Tribolium castaneum: one gene and its partner. The protein of the gene in region 2 purifies or fractionates together with the protein of the main gene of each other region. This does not show direct contact. Links are inferred from orthologs where the notes say so. Each region holds a gene or a part of one and is shown on either strand. Other genes may lie near its edges.

Region 1 (7,108 bases), on a different chromosome or scaffold from region 2:
GTCCGTGTTCTTGGTATGGGTCAAAAGTATGTTTCCGAGTTGTAAATGAGTGCGAGCTTCGACCCGCGGCGGTGGTTTAAAATTAAACACAGCCTGGAGGCACTGGATGCAGAGCTTGATCATAGGGGGGCTCGAGGTGCGGAAATGCTCGGCTAGCCCCAGGAGGGACAGGTACCAAGCGTCTTGGGACGAAGCCATCGCGAGGGATTGATTATTTTACACAAAATTCGCACCCAAACATGGTTTTTGCGCAAAATTGAAATATTTTGGGTCGACTGTCAAGCCAAACGCCAAACACCACACATGGGCGAAAATGCGGCGGTCGGGTCCGCATAAGGTCGAAAACTCCAACTCCCATTCATTGATTATTCTAATTAATCAACTTATTGATTATTTCAGTTGATTAGTTTATTGAATATTGCATTAAAAACTTTTTTCCTGCTTTTTATTTTTTTATTTTTGACGAAAAACACGGGTTTAGGTGTGTTTGGCCGACTAGATTTTTCGGTCTTATGGTGATAAATGTCAATGTCCGAATTGGGTTTATAGGTTAGAGTATATAAAATAAATTTCGTAAAAATAGGTGTTTTATTGCAAAACGATGGCCCTCACGGTGGAACAATGTGATATCTTACTCGAGTAAGACCAGTTCAATTTTGGCGCCCTTTTAATTCAGTTTTTGTAGTATTTTGGGTGAGACAAAGGTGAGAACCCACACTTTAGAAAGCCTTTCGAACGAGTTGCACAAAAAATTCGACTCTTGTGACTATTTTAAAGGTAAAAACCGCTATTTGATTACCCAAATAACTGTTTTTTTCAGTCGGAACTTGTCTGGTAATGATGCTTCAGCAAGATCTGTTGAAAGAGCCTGAGCAAAAACTTGTTGCTATAACGCTTCTGTATGAGTTATATCGGGGCGAAGCTCTGGCAAACACCCCTTTTGCCAACGTTTTCAACCACCTTTTGGTTTGTAATCACAGAAATTTAGTAATTGTAACATAGAAATTATCCTAGCACCCCCCGGAACACCAGAGTAGTGTCGGGTCCCCCAAACAGGAATATCCAGGCCAACTACCCAAACTGACACCACCAGAAAAACAATTCTTAACGCAACTGTTATCAGATGTGCCCAAAGATGCTGTAAGATTATCCAGGGCCTCCCCTGATAGGAAATTACTAAACGATTTTTTTTCTTCAAGATTTTGAAAAAAACAGCCACGCAAATAATCAATTCAGACGTTGGGAATACGCAAACAAATTTCGATTTTTCCGTTGTACAATTACTACTAGCCGAAAAACAGTCTGAATTGCCACACACTTGCAAAACAGGAATTCCTGTAGTTTTATCACTGCCTGAAAAAACTAACAATTATACGACAGAACGGAACGATTATGCAGCCCTTGTGAAAACTATAGCAACCGGTGATAACGCCCCCATTAATAAAGTGTACAAACCGGAATTTGTGACACTAGCACCGCCTTTGCTCAACACAGATGATGAAGTAAGGTTACATAATACAGCTTCTTTGTTTAATGCTATGGAGACGAAGGGAAATTTCCATTAATCAAGGAAGCTGTGATAATTTATTACTACCCTTGATTGTGTTTTTTAAGATGGTGTGGCTAAATCCGACAAACATCAAAGAACACACTGTAGCATATGACGTGACGATGTGTGTGCCTGACACAGCAGGCCAGGAGGCGAGACAATTGATGAACAAGGCGTACAAATCAGCGCTGTCTTTGCAACAGCAGCAACAACTGCTAGGCGAGCTGGAAAACGACTCAAAACTTGTGTACCACATTGGTTTGACTCCGTCCAAAGTATGAATCGAAATTTGGTGATTTTCGCTGATTTGAGTGCTTGCAGTTGCCCGAACTGGTGGAAAATAATCCACTTATCGCGATTGAAGTTTTGCTCAAGCTTATGCAATCGAAACAAATAACGGAATATTTCAGCGTTCTTGTCAACATGGAAATGTCGCTGCATTCCATGGAAGTGGTAAATCGGCTCACAACGACCGTGGATTTGCCCACAGAGTTTGTCCACTTGTACATTTCGAATTGCATATCGACTTGTGAGACTATCAAGGACCGTTATATGCAAAATCGGCTGGTTCGACTGGTTTGTGTGTTTCTCCAGTCGCTCATTCGCAACAAAATAATCAACGTCCAGGAGTTGTTTATCGAAGTTCAGGCGTTTTGTATCGAGTTTAGTCGCATTCGCGAAGCTGCCGCTTTGTTCAGGCTATTGAAACAGTTGGAGTCGGGGGAACAGATCGGACTTGTCTCCTCGCCAACGATAATGAAAGCAAAGCTCGAGGGTTGATTATTTAATGGAACTGTATCGTACAATGTGGCAGGCCGTGCTGTAATTTATCGACGATTTTTTCCCTCTCTTTGACGTACGGCAGATCGGCCAGAATCAGCTCTTTTAAGTTATTCAACGCGTTGAGGTGACTCAGCCCCGGCTCTGTTATATTCAAACACTCGGTGATTTGTAAATAAAGTAATGAGTTTTTTAAAACCGACAGCCCTTTCAACGCCTCATTCTCCAGATAGTAGCACTTGTGGAAAATGATTTTCCGGATGTGTTCGCACCCCACGAAATGGTCAAACCCGTAGTGCATTATGCTGGCTTCAGACGCGTTCACTTCCACGATGTGTAACCTAATCCTGTCGCTCGGCAGTTTGTTATAGTCTGTGAGAAACTCGTTGCAGTGCTCCCACTTGACGTGGGCCCCGTTCCGCAACAGCCACTCGGCACAAGACCTGTCAGGCCCCACTTGTTTCCGTCGTTCGTCGTCCACGCGGTTGAAGACGATGTTCAGCCAGTGGAAGAGGGTGCGCGTGTGGGGGATGAGCGGCCTTTGGAGGTGGCTGAGGCGAGTGAGGAGCATCTTATGTCAAGGTTTCCCCTTTGGTGACCTTCAGTTTATTTGTAAATAAAGCGCAGTGTTATGTAAATGAGACTTACACAAGCTTCCAAATAGTCGATCTTTCGCTCGAGAGTTGTCAACTTTTCGTTTAAAACGGCGAGTTTTGATCGACAAGATAAGTCTAAAAATAATTTTTGCGAGGTGTCAACAGTAAGGGGAAACTTACCGAAAGAATTGAGGAAATCGGTGATCTTTTTTATGCTGACGGTTATCACTTCGATGTATTCGCGGTTTACCCAGTCTTGTTGGATGGGCTTGGGGACTGTCTCTCCTCTAGGAGCAGCCATTTCCGCAAAAATACCGAAATTGTTGGTTACTTTTTAGGGAGTTTCAGTTTTTGCTTGACACTCTAACCCTCTCTCTTATTCTATGCTCTAACCTCGAAAAAGTTTCAAACAAGCTCGCTATTTTCGTAATTTAATTAAACAAATATTTTTTTTAATTAAATACTAAGTGCAAATGATTCGTTTTGTACGCTTTTGGTTATTTTCGAGTCTAGCTAATAAGTGGCAAAAAGTGCATTTGTAGGTTAGGCTTTTCCAAACAAGTTATTGTTTTGAGTGAATCATGAAAGACTCAAAATTAGTGTTGAAGGAGGCACGAGATGCCATCAAAAACAAGAATTATGAAACTGCCTTGAAACTATGCAAGGTAGGTGAAATTTTTATTATTTATAAGGTGTAGGGGTTGGTAAAACTGTCATAATTTACACTAAAAATTAAAAATTATCCGGTTACAAATTTCTAAAAAAACTTTGAAATCTGTTACCAATTGAAATAATCATTTGCGATCATTTCGAAATTTTGTTGCTAAATAGTCGGAGTTATCCGTTTTTTTTTTGTAGAAATTAACTTAATAAAATTAATAAAAGCATTGGCAATTTAAAATACTTTTATGTGTTCACTATTTTCTGATGAATCCAATCATTGTTTGATTCATTGTTTTTTTCTTTTTTTTCTTTGGACTGCACCTTTGTAGCAATTAGTTGCATAAGCGTTATCTTTAATTATGTTTGTTAGTGTGTGCGATTGTATTTTTGCAGCAAATACTGAAAGAAGAAAAGAACAATTACATGGCCCTTGTCTTCCTGGGAGTCTCATTACAGGAAACCGGTCAAAACGCCAAAGCTTTGAAAGCTTTCCAGGAGGCAATCGAAGCAAACCCTTCAAATCCCTTGGCTTGGAACGGTCTTATAAATTATTACGAAAAAATCGACACTAAAGAAACTAAACTTGATTTAATTAATGCTTACATTTCGCTAATTGGCATTGAAACGTAATTGATTTTAAATTATTTGGCATGAGATAATTAGCCTTTTCAGAGGCGAGAAAAAAATCCTCGAATGTGTCCAAAAACTGGCAAATTTGTGCGAATTCGGCGACTTGGCTAAAATCGTAACAGCGATTTTTTCAGTCCTGAAAGAGGGCAAGTGTGACAGTGCGGAATGTGCAGTTTGTTTGATTAATATTTTATCAAAAATTGAAAATCTCGCACCGGATTTGGTCCCAATTGTATGATTTTAAATCGTAATTTTGCAAATTAAACCAATTTTTTAGTACGAAGAAACGTTAAAACTCGCCTTAAACAACCAAAAAACCGTATGTACGAAATATTTCAGCGATTATTTAAACCTGTTGTATAAGCAAGACAAAGCGGGTGAATTATTACAACAGGCGAAAAAAATGCACGAAATGTTTGAATCAGACTGGATTTCTTTGCGTTGGATTTGTAAGATTTTCAATGAGGTTTACGTCGAGTCCGGCACTTTGATCGAATCGGTCGAAAACATGGCCAATTACAGCGAAAGTCTCTCTAAATTGGAGGCACCTTCAGCTACGGGTCTATTCACCCAAAGCATTTTACTAGTTGAACAGAAAAAAATTATCGAAGCGAAAGATGTTTTAGAGCAAGTTGTGGGGGTTTTACCCGGGTTGGTACACGCGTGGGTACTTTTGCTAAAATGTTGTATGCAACTCCTGTTGTACGACGAAGCCATAAATGCGGCAAACAAACTCGAGAAACTGTTACAAAATAAGAAGATTTTGAAGAAAAGTGTTAATGTTTTGATGGTTGAGGTTTTGTCCCGGTCGGAGGAGGAGGCCGACCTTCGCAAAGCGTTACAATTATTTGAAAATGTTTGTCTATTATTAGTACTACTTTTTTTCAATTGCAATTTCTAGATTGAAACTGAGGTGAAATCTGCGTGCAATCAACACTTGATTCGTGCAAACATCAATCTAAAAAAATTCACCGAAGCTAAATCGTTACTCCAAGAATTCAATTCTACTGATAAAACACACATTTTGCTCAAAGCCCAGTTGCTCCACAAGCAGGAAAAATTTTCCGAAGCTCTGGAAATTCTAGAAAGGGAAAATTGCGAGTCTTGTGAATGGTGGCTCGAAATCGGTTCGCTTTATTGGGATTGTGGCCACTTTGACAAAAGTCTGATCCCATTTTTGAAGGTTTCACCCAACGTTTAATAAACGGGACATAATCGTAATTTTCAGGCCACCAAATTGGACCCAAATAACTACAAGTGTTTCCTGTTTTTGGGCCATTTCTACAAGAGAAACAACGACTTTGATAAAGCTAGACGATGTTACGAGAAAGCTTTCAAAATTAATAAGCGATGTGCGGAGGCCGGGATCGAACTAAGCAAAATCTACCGCAAGTTAAAAAATTGGGTATGTAACAAATGAGACGACGCTAGAGCTAAAGCGTTATCTTTGACACTTAGCTGCTAGGTAACAACATAAATTTGAACAATTGGAGTAATCGTTACCGTAGCAACGCCCTATTAAACATTCTTACTTACATAGATTTCATTTTTTTAAGGACGCCAACTTGAACTTGTTACAAGCCCTCACAAGTGGAATAATTAACGCTAAAAATTCCTGGGCTTGGATGCAGCTAGGGCTACACCACTTGGAACAATTAGATTACGATAAAGCCGTTACGAACTTGCGATTCGTCATACGAATTGACGAAAACAATGCGTATTTTTCCACACTTGTGTTAACAAACTCGAAAAATTCAATTTTAGTCACTGCTGGGAATCCCTGGCTGACGCCTACTTGGCCAAAGGTGCCTACACTTCCGCTTTGAAATGTTACGAGAAAACGTCGAGTTTGGTGTCGGAAGCGTGGTATCCGATGTTACAAAAAGGGCACATTAAGCAGATTTTGGGCGAATTTGCCGAAGCGCGGCTCGAGTTTGAGGAAATTTTAAAATTTAACAAGTTTTACGTCCCGGCTTTGAAAGGCATGGCTGAGACTTGTCTGCTTCAAGCGAGGCATTGTTACAAGGATCAGAGACTGGGGACGAGTCGGGACCATGCTCAGGTGGCCACCGATCACTTGATTCGGGCTCTGAGCCAACGTGGCGACCTCTCGTGTTTGTGGAAATTGTTAGGGAACGGGTGTTTGTTCGTGGCCAATTTACCTGAAAAACATTCGTGTCTTTTGATTGCGAAAAAGTTCGTTGAAGGGAGGGACGTTGTGGGTGATACGGTTCTAGAGAAAAGTGATTTATTCGCGTTGGCTGCGCGCTGTTTTTTCAAAAGTTTGGGTCTAGTTGAGGATAATTTTTTGATTTGGCACGATTTGGCCGTTTGTTATTTATCGCACGGGCTTAGTAGCGGTTCAAGCGAGTTAATTACTAAAGCTCAAACTATTTTGCAACATTGCACGGCTAATAATCCGACGTATTGGCCACACTGGAATTTATTAGGCAATGTAGCGATGCATCTAAACCCTCCAAATTATAAATTCGCGCAACATTGTTTCATTAAAGCCGTTATCGCTGATAGTCACAGTGCCGTCTCGTGGACGAATTTAGGCACTTTGTATTTTCTCCTCGGTGATTTTAAGCTGGCAAATCAGGCGTTTTCGCAAGCTCAAAGATCGGACCCTAACTACGTTAACAGTTGGATAGGACAGGCACTTTTAGCCGAGACTTTGGCACACGAAGACGCTATGGATTTGTTTAGGCACAGCACCCAGTTAAGGGTCCACAAACAGGGGGCTTTGGGGTACGCACATTGGGTGTGCAAAACGTTGAAGGAGTCGCCGGTGGACACCGTCGTCTATTCGATACACAACATGCATGCGGTCCCTGTGGCTTGTGATGTAATCACCTGGTATACGGGTAAGTAAAAATGAAAAAATAAA
Region 2 (8,885 bases):
TATGTCTTGACATAATTTCCCGTTAAATAAATTATTTTACTTTGACTTGGCAAATCTATTAACTTGTAAACCCACATTTGGAGTAAATTTTACAATTGTCTACTTGGTATTGGTGAAATTTCTTGAATTTAGAGCATTTCTTCGTAAACCAATTCATAAAACGAGTCCAATTTTGGATTCATGACCAAGAACAAAATTAATAGTCCACCATGAAACTTACTTGTTGATCGAAAGCCACCGTGCTCTTGAACGCCTTCCTCATGTGGATATCCTGCAAAGAGACCTCCTCGACGGTGCTGTCCAATTGTGTGACTTTGATAGCGAGTCTGTCGATTCTCGCTTGCAGTGAATTCGATCTGTCGTAGAGTTGTTGGGCATCTCTGGCCAATTCTCCGAATAAATCTTCGGCATGTTTTGAGAGTGAGGAAAGTTGTCGTACGGTATTCGCTAAAGTTCCGTTGGTGACGGCTTCCAATTCGGACACTAGAGGAAAATCCTCTGGAAGTGTGCCTCTGGCCACGTGGACCGGTTCGATCACCCTCTTTGGCAGAGGCATGGTTGTTTAGTGTTCACTAGAAACGAGAGATAAACATGATGGAAGGGTTTTGTGAGGTGCTGAATGCTAATGTCAAGATTCAATTGGAATGTTTCAAGTGCGATAAAATGATCAATTTACACAAATGAAAAGGTTACATAGAAAGAGATACTCACGATTTTGACCGTATTCGTAAAATCGAATCATTTTGTAAAAATTTTGAAACAATGTTACCATTTCGCGAACAGAAAATTACATTTTAATGAGAGTTTTTAGTTGAAAATAATCAATATTTTCACTTAAATTTATATCATCGGTGTTATCACTAAACTATGTCATTTCATTTATCTCTTGTTTACATTTTGCTGTAAGTAATTTTTCCTGTAGATATCTTTTTAGCAATTTCGGTCTTGGGTTGTCTGTTCAAATTACATTTCCCTATATAGACTAATGTTAAAATTTAGTAAAGGCCTGTATTTCAGTACAATGAAAAAAAATGACGTTAGAATAACGTCGCATTTCTTGGTTAAGCATATTTTTATTGAAAACCATTAATATAAAATATAAAAGGTGTGTGTGTAATTTTGGTAAAAAAAGGTGACAAAAGAATACAATGTAAGTTTAGCTTCCAATTTAATTTAATTTTAATTTTAATTCAAACTGTTTTTTTTTAAATGGGCACGTGGTCCCTACCTTAATTAATTTCTTACAATGTTAAGAAAAAATCGATATTTAAATTCAACCGCAACTTTATCGCTTAACTGTGGCAAACTGTAACAGTATATACGAGTTTTATAAGACGTCCTATTGTGACACGAATGGTTTTGGAGCACGACGAAGGAGTGTAATATACTATTTTTTCTACTTTCTATTTTTGTTGTTTGTTTTTTTTTTGTTGAATTTATCAAAATCTGTTCAAACTATTTCCTCTTAATGTTGTTAATTATTCAGGCTTTATCAATAAACGACTTGACGCTTTAGACAGATTACACACTAAATTACAGTTATGACTGATGACACCCAGTCCAGCACATCCAACAGAACTATCTACTAAAAGTAATTGCATAAAAGTTTTCTTTGTGAAACCACTTTCGGTTTCACAATGAACATTTTGTAAAACCATAATAGTAGTACTATTTTCAATCAGAAACGCATTTTTTAATGTGATTTCGTCAAAAATACACCGCAAAATTATTAAAATAAGTCAAAGTTTGTTACTTTTGCTTTTTTTCGAAAACTTTAGATTTTTGTTTTTTGGCAAAAAATTCATATTGTTTCAAAAGATTAGTTACTTAATCCGAAATAACTCTGAAAAACAATTATTAACGAAATTTTGTCAAAAATAAGCCAAAAGCCTTTAAAACACCTCAAAATTGGCATATCTTTCCAATATAAATCATGGAAATTAAAAAAAAAGAAAAAAATCGTCTTATTTTTGTTTTTTTGAGTTTTTAAAACGTTTGGAAACGTTTATTTTGCAAGGTTTTGCTGAAACCGGCCAAAAAACACAAAATTATCTTGAAAATGATTCCATTTTCACTTTTTTACGGCGTTTTTCACATAGAAATGCTTTATTTTGCAAAATTTCCAAAATAAAGCCAAAAAATCATTGATACAGTTCAAAATTAGTGTAATGTTTGTTTTTTTTAGCGTTTTGGATCTTTTTAGAGCAAGATTTAGATGAATCATATTAAAAAACGTAATGATTTTGCGCTAGAAACCAGAAAAATAATGAAACCAAATCGAAAATTTCGTTATATTTGTTTTGAAACGTTTCTAAATTTAGTTTTTTTTCAAAGATTTTGCTAAAGCGGGTCTAAACAATACAAATTTAAATCTAAAATGACTATTTTTGCAGATCGAAATCAGTGTTCGCATATTCTTTTAGCATGTTAGATCGTTTTTAAGCTAAACACTTAGCTTTTTTGTGAGATCTTGTCAATAGAAATCACAGACATTTGGAAATCAAGTCAAAAATTGTAATGGGTGCTTTGCTTTTAAAACGTTTCTAAATTCAGCTTTTCTAATGAAATGGGTCAAAAAATGAATAATTTAACTTGAAAATTACTTTTTTTGCTTTTTGGGATGTTTTTTATTGTGGAACGCATCAAATATGTCATAATTAGTGTTATTCTTGCTTTTTTAATCGTTTTATTACACAATAATTTGGTTGTCTATTTTATTTTTGTAAAAAAAATCGTCAAAAAATAAAATGTTAATGTTAATTTTTTCAGAAAAAATTTGGTTATAATCAATATTTAACGTAAGTTACAGAAGATTAGAAGATGTTCATAAAATTTTCAGGGCTCCCCTGACTACAGTTTCATTTAGACGCTTTCTAATAGATTAGATTTTGCAAAAATTTTGTGTATGGCTTTAATCCTTTAATCATACTTATTGGGACAAATAAATAAAAAAAGGGGTGTGGTATTATTTAATGAAAAATAATTTTGCAAAAATCGATTTTCAATTTCTTCTGTTGATTACATTCAAAACTTTTGGCAGTGTTTTGAAATCATTTAAATGCTCATAAAGAATATGAATCAATTGGTTGTTCCCTAGATGTGATAAAAACTTGTGTGACAAGACATGTGTGTAGAGTAGATATGAATATGGAACACCTAAATACACCTGAAAAATATTACAACCATGATTCATCAAAATACTATTAACACTTCAGACCTTGGGAGTATTATTCCTGTTTTAAGTATTTACACTAGATAAAGCAGTACATTTTTGAGAGAATTTCGACGTAAATTTTTATCAGGGAAGCCACTCCCTTAAGTTCTAAACTGAATAATATCCTAATTTTTGAGAAAATAGTTATTTAAAATTTAATTAGAAGAATATCACATTTCCATCGAAGGTCATCAATAATATGTCGTTATGCCGATATAAAAATACAGTATTTATAATAAAATAACCATTAAATGTAAAATGAATGATTTTTTGCAAATTAGTTAGAAAAAATTGCGTTTTTGACCTCGTTTTTTTGTTTTCAATTCATTTATTACAGAAACATCGATTTTTAACAATTCTCACTTTAGTAAACAATTATCATAACTGATTAGCGTGATTTAATTTTAAGTATTCCTTCACCTTTCCCAAATGTAGTAGACCTTTGTGTTATTGTTATTTTAGGGGTTGAAGGACGAAAAAATCAGTAACTATGACGACAACCAATCCAATTATTGGATTTCTCATTTCTAATAATAAGTGCCCTTTAAATTTTAACAGAATCACACGTGATTACATCAATTCCGTTTAAAAAATGCAATCGTTCACCAATTGAACTTTGAAACGCACCGCTACAGAAGTGAAAACTAAACCGTTTCAACATTTCTTGAAGAAAAAAGGTTAAATCTCTGTTTCCCGTTTTCGTCACCATATGTTACCGCTTTATGGAAATAAATAAATTAGTGCATGACGTGCGAAAGACATCTGTGAAGGTTATTAACCGCCAATTAATAAACTAAAGCGTGGCAGGAAGTGCCCCAAACTGGCTTCGCTCTCATCAATACTGTCTCCAACAAGGAAGTGAGTCATTAGGGGGCCACATACGCCCCATTTAACAAATATGAGCAAACACAAGCTGCAAGGTCAAGTCATTTGTCGCAATTACGCGAACAGACACCGCAAACGGCCAGATTTTGGGGCAATTTCTCGCAGAAAATGTCAAATAGAAAGGGGAAAGGCCAACTAGCAGGAGTCGAGATTTCCGCCCATTTCTTACCTCGGCATGGTCTGGGACACTCACTGGGGGGCGCAAACGTTGCCACACATGTTTTTGCACACACGACACTAATTGTTTCGTTAAAAACGGCGATAATTTAATAAATATCGCAGAAAATGGCGAAGCGGTACACCCAACAAACACGATTGAGCAGGACTGCCACACCCACGGAGCGAAAATCACCAACAGCAGCGGCGTCGCGTCAATCAATATTGCGGCCACTTTGGGGATAAAATAAATAAAATTGGGGCGTGCGAGGGAAAACCCTCATTTTAATACATTTTTGTGCGAATGAGGGTGTCATTGCTCGACACTTGATGTTTATTTGGGGGAATTACCAGTGGCGTGCGGAACGTACTGGGGATTTTTGTGTTGGCAACGTTATGTAATAAAAAACTGTTTTTCTTAAATTATTATATTTATAAAATAATAGTAATTTTTGTATTAAGTGCGCGAAATGAGTGTTTTTTTAATGGCGCCTGAGAATGTTATTTTAGTCGAGACCGCCAGGTCGAGACCTAAAAGACATTCGAAGGCGCCATTAAAACATGAATTTCGCCACGAAATACAAACAACGTTTTTTCTACAGCCTCCAGATGAAGAAAAAAGTAACAGAAATTAGTTGGAACAAAATGGTCTGATAAATCGAGTTGCTTGCATGGTTACGATGATAAATAAAAGTGATAGTTGCGAAAAATTTGTCACAATAGGTATTTTTGTTGAAGAAGTGTGATGGATTTTAGCAGCGAAAACGAAATAGATGCAATTGCAAGCGCGGCAGTGTCGAATCTTTTGCCTGCTAAATCAAGACCGCAGTACGAAAAAACGTATCTTCAGTTTCGGCAGTGGTGTTCTATGAAAAAGATTGATCAAGTAACGGAAAATGTTTTGTTGGCGTATTTGGAAGAAAAGTCTACCACCTTAAAGCCACCAACACTCTGGGCCCTTTATGCGATGTTGAAAGCCACCTTAAACGTTAAAGAGAATATCGATACACGTAAGTTTCCGAAGTTAGTGCCCTACCTGAAAAGCAAAAGCGTAGGTTACAGAAGCAAGAAGTCGCAAATTTTAGACAAAGAAGACATTAGCAAGTTTATTAATGAAGCAGATGACAAGATATATTTACTGATGAAGGTAAACTTATCATATTAGTGTAATACAAATCAAAACAACTCGTTTTATTTATAGACTGTGCTAATTTTGGGTATATCGGGAGCCCTTCGACGTGAAGAATTAGTTAAAATGAAGCTAACTGACATAGAAGATAAACAGTCTGTCTTAATTGTGAAGGTGCCTGATACAAAAACCCACTGCGAACGAATATTTACTGTTTCAAATTTAGAAAATATAGAAATTGTCAGAAAATATAGAGCTTTGCGGCCTCCACGGGCGACTAGTGACCGTTTATTTTTAAAGTATACCAACGGAAAATGTGTGAATCAAAATGTTGGAATTAACAAAATCGGAGAGATACCAAGTTTGATTGCAAAGTGGCTTAACAAAGACGAACCTAAAAAATATACTGGTCACTGCTTCAGAAGAAGCTCTGCCACTCTTTTGGCGAATGCTGGAGGTGATCTAATTTCAATTAAACGTCATGGGGGCTGGAGAAGCAGCACAGTGGCAGAAAGTTACATCGAGGACTCTTTGAATAATAAAATTGAAATTGCCAATAAAATTCAACCTTCTTCCTCCACAGAAGAAAACAAAATCACTCAACCTTCTACATCGGCTTCTTTTAATGGCGAAAATAACTTTCATTTACAAGCGTCTTCACTCAGGCCTCTGGGGATAAACGGGGGCACGTTTTCGTCATGCACATTTAATTTTCATATGTCAAAGTAAATATCTATTATTATTGTTTTGTAATATTGTTCTGTATAATTATAAAACCTTTAAAACTACCTCTCATTATCGATCCGTCTCTTCATTTCGGTTGCTGTTGATGTCTTTTCGTGTTACTAAAATTGTAACAGAAATAAGTTGGAACAAAATGATCTGAAAAATCGAGTTGCCTGCACAGTTAAAAAATATTATTTTTTCACTGTGAAACCGTGAAAAAATAATATTTTTTCACAGTGAAAAAACGTCAAACTTCGCGCATAGGTAACCATGCATAAATGTCACGATTTTTTGACGGCTGTAGAAAAAAATAAATAGACATTGCAAATGGTTAATAACATTGAGTAAAATATAAAACTATAAAACATTAATTAATTACTTGTTCCGGATAAAACAAACCCTGTTGTGTTTTGAACTGTAACATACAGGGTAGCAAACTTTTTTGAGTATTTTTGCTTTAGATTAGTATTTAAAAAACGCTATGCAATATGCAGCTTTACTTAAAAAAAGACACTTAACGTGCATACATCAACATCGACGCAACAGTCTATAGTACGGTTAATTTAATAACAAATTGCCTCTAGAAAAACAAAACTATTCTTAAGCATCACAATTCACAACGAATCCAGATTCATTTTCAATGATACAAGAAAGTTCTCTATTGAGTATTCGTCAAGTTACGATATCAATACTTGAATTGATACTGGGTTAGTATCAAATTTGACTTGTATGACTATACGAATCAAATTTCCAATATACTATACTATAATACAAAATTGCAACAATTTTACTAGAGATACATAGTATCAACTTATTGATTAATAATTATATTGACATGATAAAAACAGAGGGGTTGACACCACATTCCTTTGAAAGCGTTATTCCTACTTAGTAACTAGGATACGGATTCCGTCAAAGACAAAAGTATGGACATCGGCATATTTGGCAGATTTAGTGTCAGATTACTGTCAAGTTGACACTAAAATATCCATTTATGACAAGGAACATTTTCAAAGTCAAATAAATGTTCCTGTTCTTAATGATCTATTAGCGCCACCAGATGGCGAGTTGAACAATGAATTAAATAAAACAGTGAGAACAACTCAAACTAAAAAATCAGACAGGTAGAGCATTAAATTCACCATTGTAAGAGTAATGGTAATACAAAAAATATCGAAAATTACATTAAAAAAAGCACATCGCCTCATATTTTCAAAAAACTGCGAGTAGGGTTAAAGAAATAAGAAAATTTAAGAACATTAAAAAAATCCGCGAAAGCATGTTTTTGCCTTATATTAAACGAATTAGGTCGGTTTAGTTGTTCAAAAATTGGAAAATTAATTTAAGCCTAAACTGTTGAAGATAGTTATGGTGTTGCGTCGCAAATACTTTGCAGGAAATTTAATTCGCTACAACTTAGTTCGTTACACTTTTTAAAGCACTTATTAAATAATGTATGTCTATTAGAATTTTTTTTGACAATCACTTCATCAAGCACTTTTACAGTTTCTACCTAATTCGAATAAACTTTTGACGAATTATTCGAATTAATCGTATTTCTGAGTAAAAACTGACTGACCAAAAACGCTCAACAATTAATTTCACTCAAAAAAATCTGTTAAAACGCACGAAAAAAACATTGTTCAAAAATTGTTGAAACGTTGAAAAACTACAAAAATTATAATTTTCGATCGATATTGGTAATCAATAATCATTCGACAAATTTTCCCAAAATTTTGCAAAATAATTGCTTTTTTTAATCAAAAAGATACTAAAATTCTCAAAAACACATGTTTTTAGCCCAAATACGTGACCAAAATTAAAAAAAAACAAAACAACTCGTATTTTATCAATTAAAAAAACTTAATTTTCGCCCAAATTTCGTAATTTTTCGACTCAGAAACTGGGCAATTAGTTTAAAAAACATTCGATAAAAGCAAAAATTTCGTCTAACTTCTCAAATTTTAAGGAAATTCCTAGAATTAATTATTTTTCTGAGTAAACATCGAGTAAAAAAGTAGAATCGTTTTTTCCTTTTTTACTTAGTTTATTTACTCATTATCACAAGAATTGCAAAAACTGTACCATTTTCGACATATCTTAGTCAAAATTTTTCAAAATAATTTCTTTTTAGCAGATAAAAAGCTACAACTTTTGTAAAAGTTAAAAGTGTATCGCATTCGACTTGACTCGCGAAAAGATTAGTTTTCCATTCCAAAAAGTGTATTTAATTTTGTATACCTTTATTTGTTGCATTTTTTGTATCTTTAATATTGGACAGGACGCAAATTTTTTATATGTTTTCCTAACTCCGTTACCAAATTTTACATCTAATTATGACGTGATATACTGCCACTTATTACGTAGCTCACTGTCAGGTGTTTACTCTTAAAACAATAAAACCGTTGGAATTTTTTTTTAATTTACGACGGAATTAGAAAATAATTTGTTCGTAATACATTATGAAAAGCCTGTTAGTGTTTATTAACTATTTCAAAACTATAAAAACGCCAACGTCGCATTTTACCAAATAATTTTTTTATTCATAAGAATGTAAAATTGTTATTAATGATTAGATCTCTCGTTGAAAGTACAAATTACAATAGCTATTATTTTTTTGAAGTGTGTGAATAATTTATAACAGGTAATTTAGAGAGAAAATGTGATGTTGGAGTTTTTATAGTTTTGAAACAGCTAACAGCTTGCACAATTTGAAAAAATTGTTCGCTGCGCGCACTCGTTTTGGCAAACATTGTGCTCGTTAAACAAAATCGG

What was found. The genes of interacting proteins can lie anywhere in the genome.
Region 1: the proteins of SCAR (region 2) and HSPC300 purify together in Drosophila melanogaster (affinity purification with western blotting; 4 studies listed by BioGRID, with this or other methods). This does not show direct contact. The link is inferred for Tribolium castaneum from reciprocal best matches to the Drosophila melanogaster genes SCAR and HSPC300.

Annotation. Positions count from the first base shown.
Region 1 is NC_087396.1:20,955,747-20,962,854, forward strand, and holds HSPC300 (probable protein BRICK1-B), read right to left. Parts: upstream 3,243-7,108; 5' UTR 3,227-3,242; coding exon 3,106-3,226; intron 3,061-3,105; coding exon 2,978-3,060; intron 2,929-2,977; coding exon 2,902-2,928; 3' UTR 2,901-2,901; downstream 1-2,900. Other genes in the region: MAU2 chromatid cohesion factor homolog, read right to left, coding at 1-198; Not11 (CCR4-NOT transcription complex subunit 11), read left to right, coding at 602-639, 686-777, 821-966, 1,015-1,140, 1,200-1,502, 1,615-1,824, 1,871-2,329; ATP synthase subunit s, mitochondrial, read right to left, coding at 2,334-2,900; superkiller complex protein 3, read left to right, coding at 3,507-3,590, 3,982-4,214, 4,261-4,450, 4,496-5,074, 5,120-5,401, 5,447-5,623, 5,775-5,935, 5,983-7,085.
Region 2 is NC_087399.1:10,149,880-10,158,764, forward strand, and holds the start of SCAR (actin-binding protein WASF3), read right to left. Parts: upstream 4,429-8,885; 5' UTR 4,269-4,428; intron 852-4,268; exon of another isoform or gene 712-851; intron 573-711; 5' UTR 557-572; coding exon 221-556; intron 1-220. Other genes in the region: uncharacterized protein LOC107398411, read left to right, coding at 5,001-5,402, 5,457-6,113.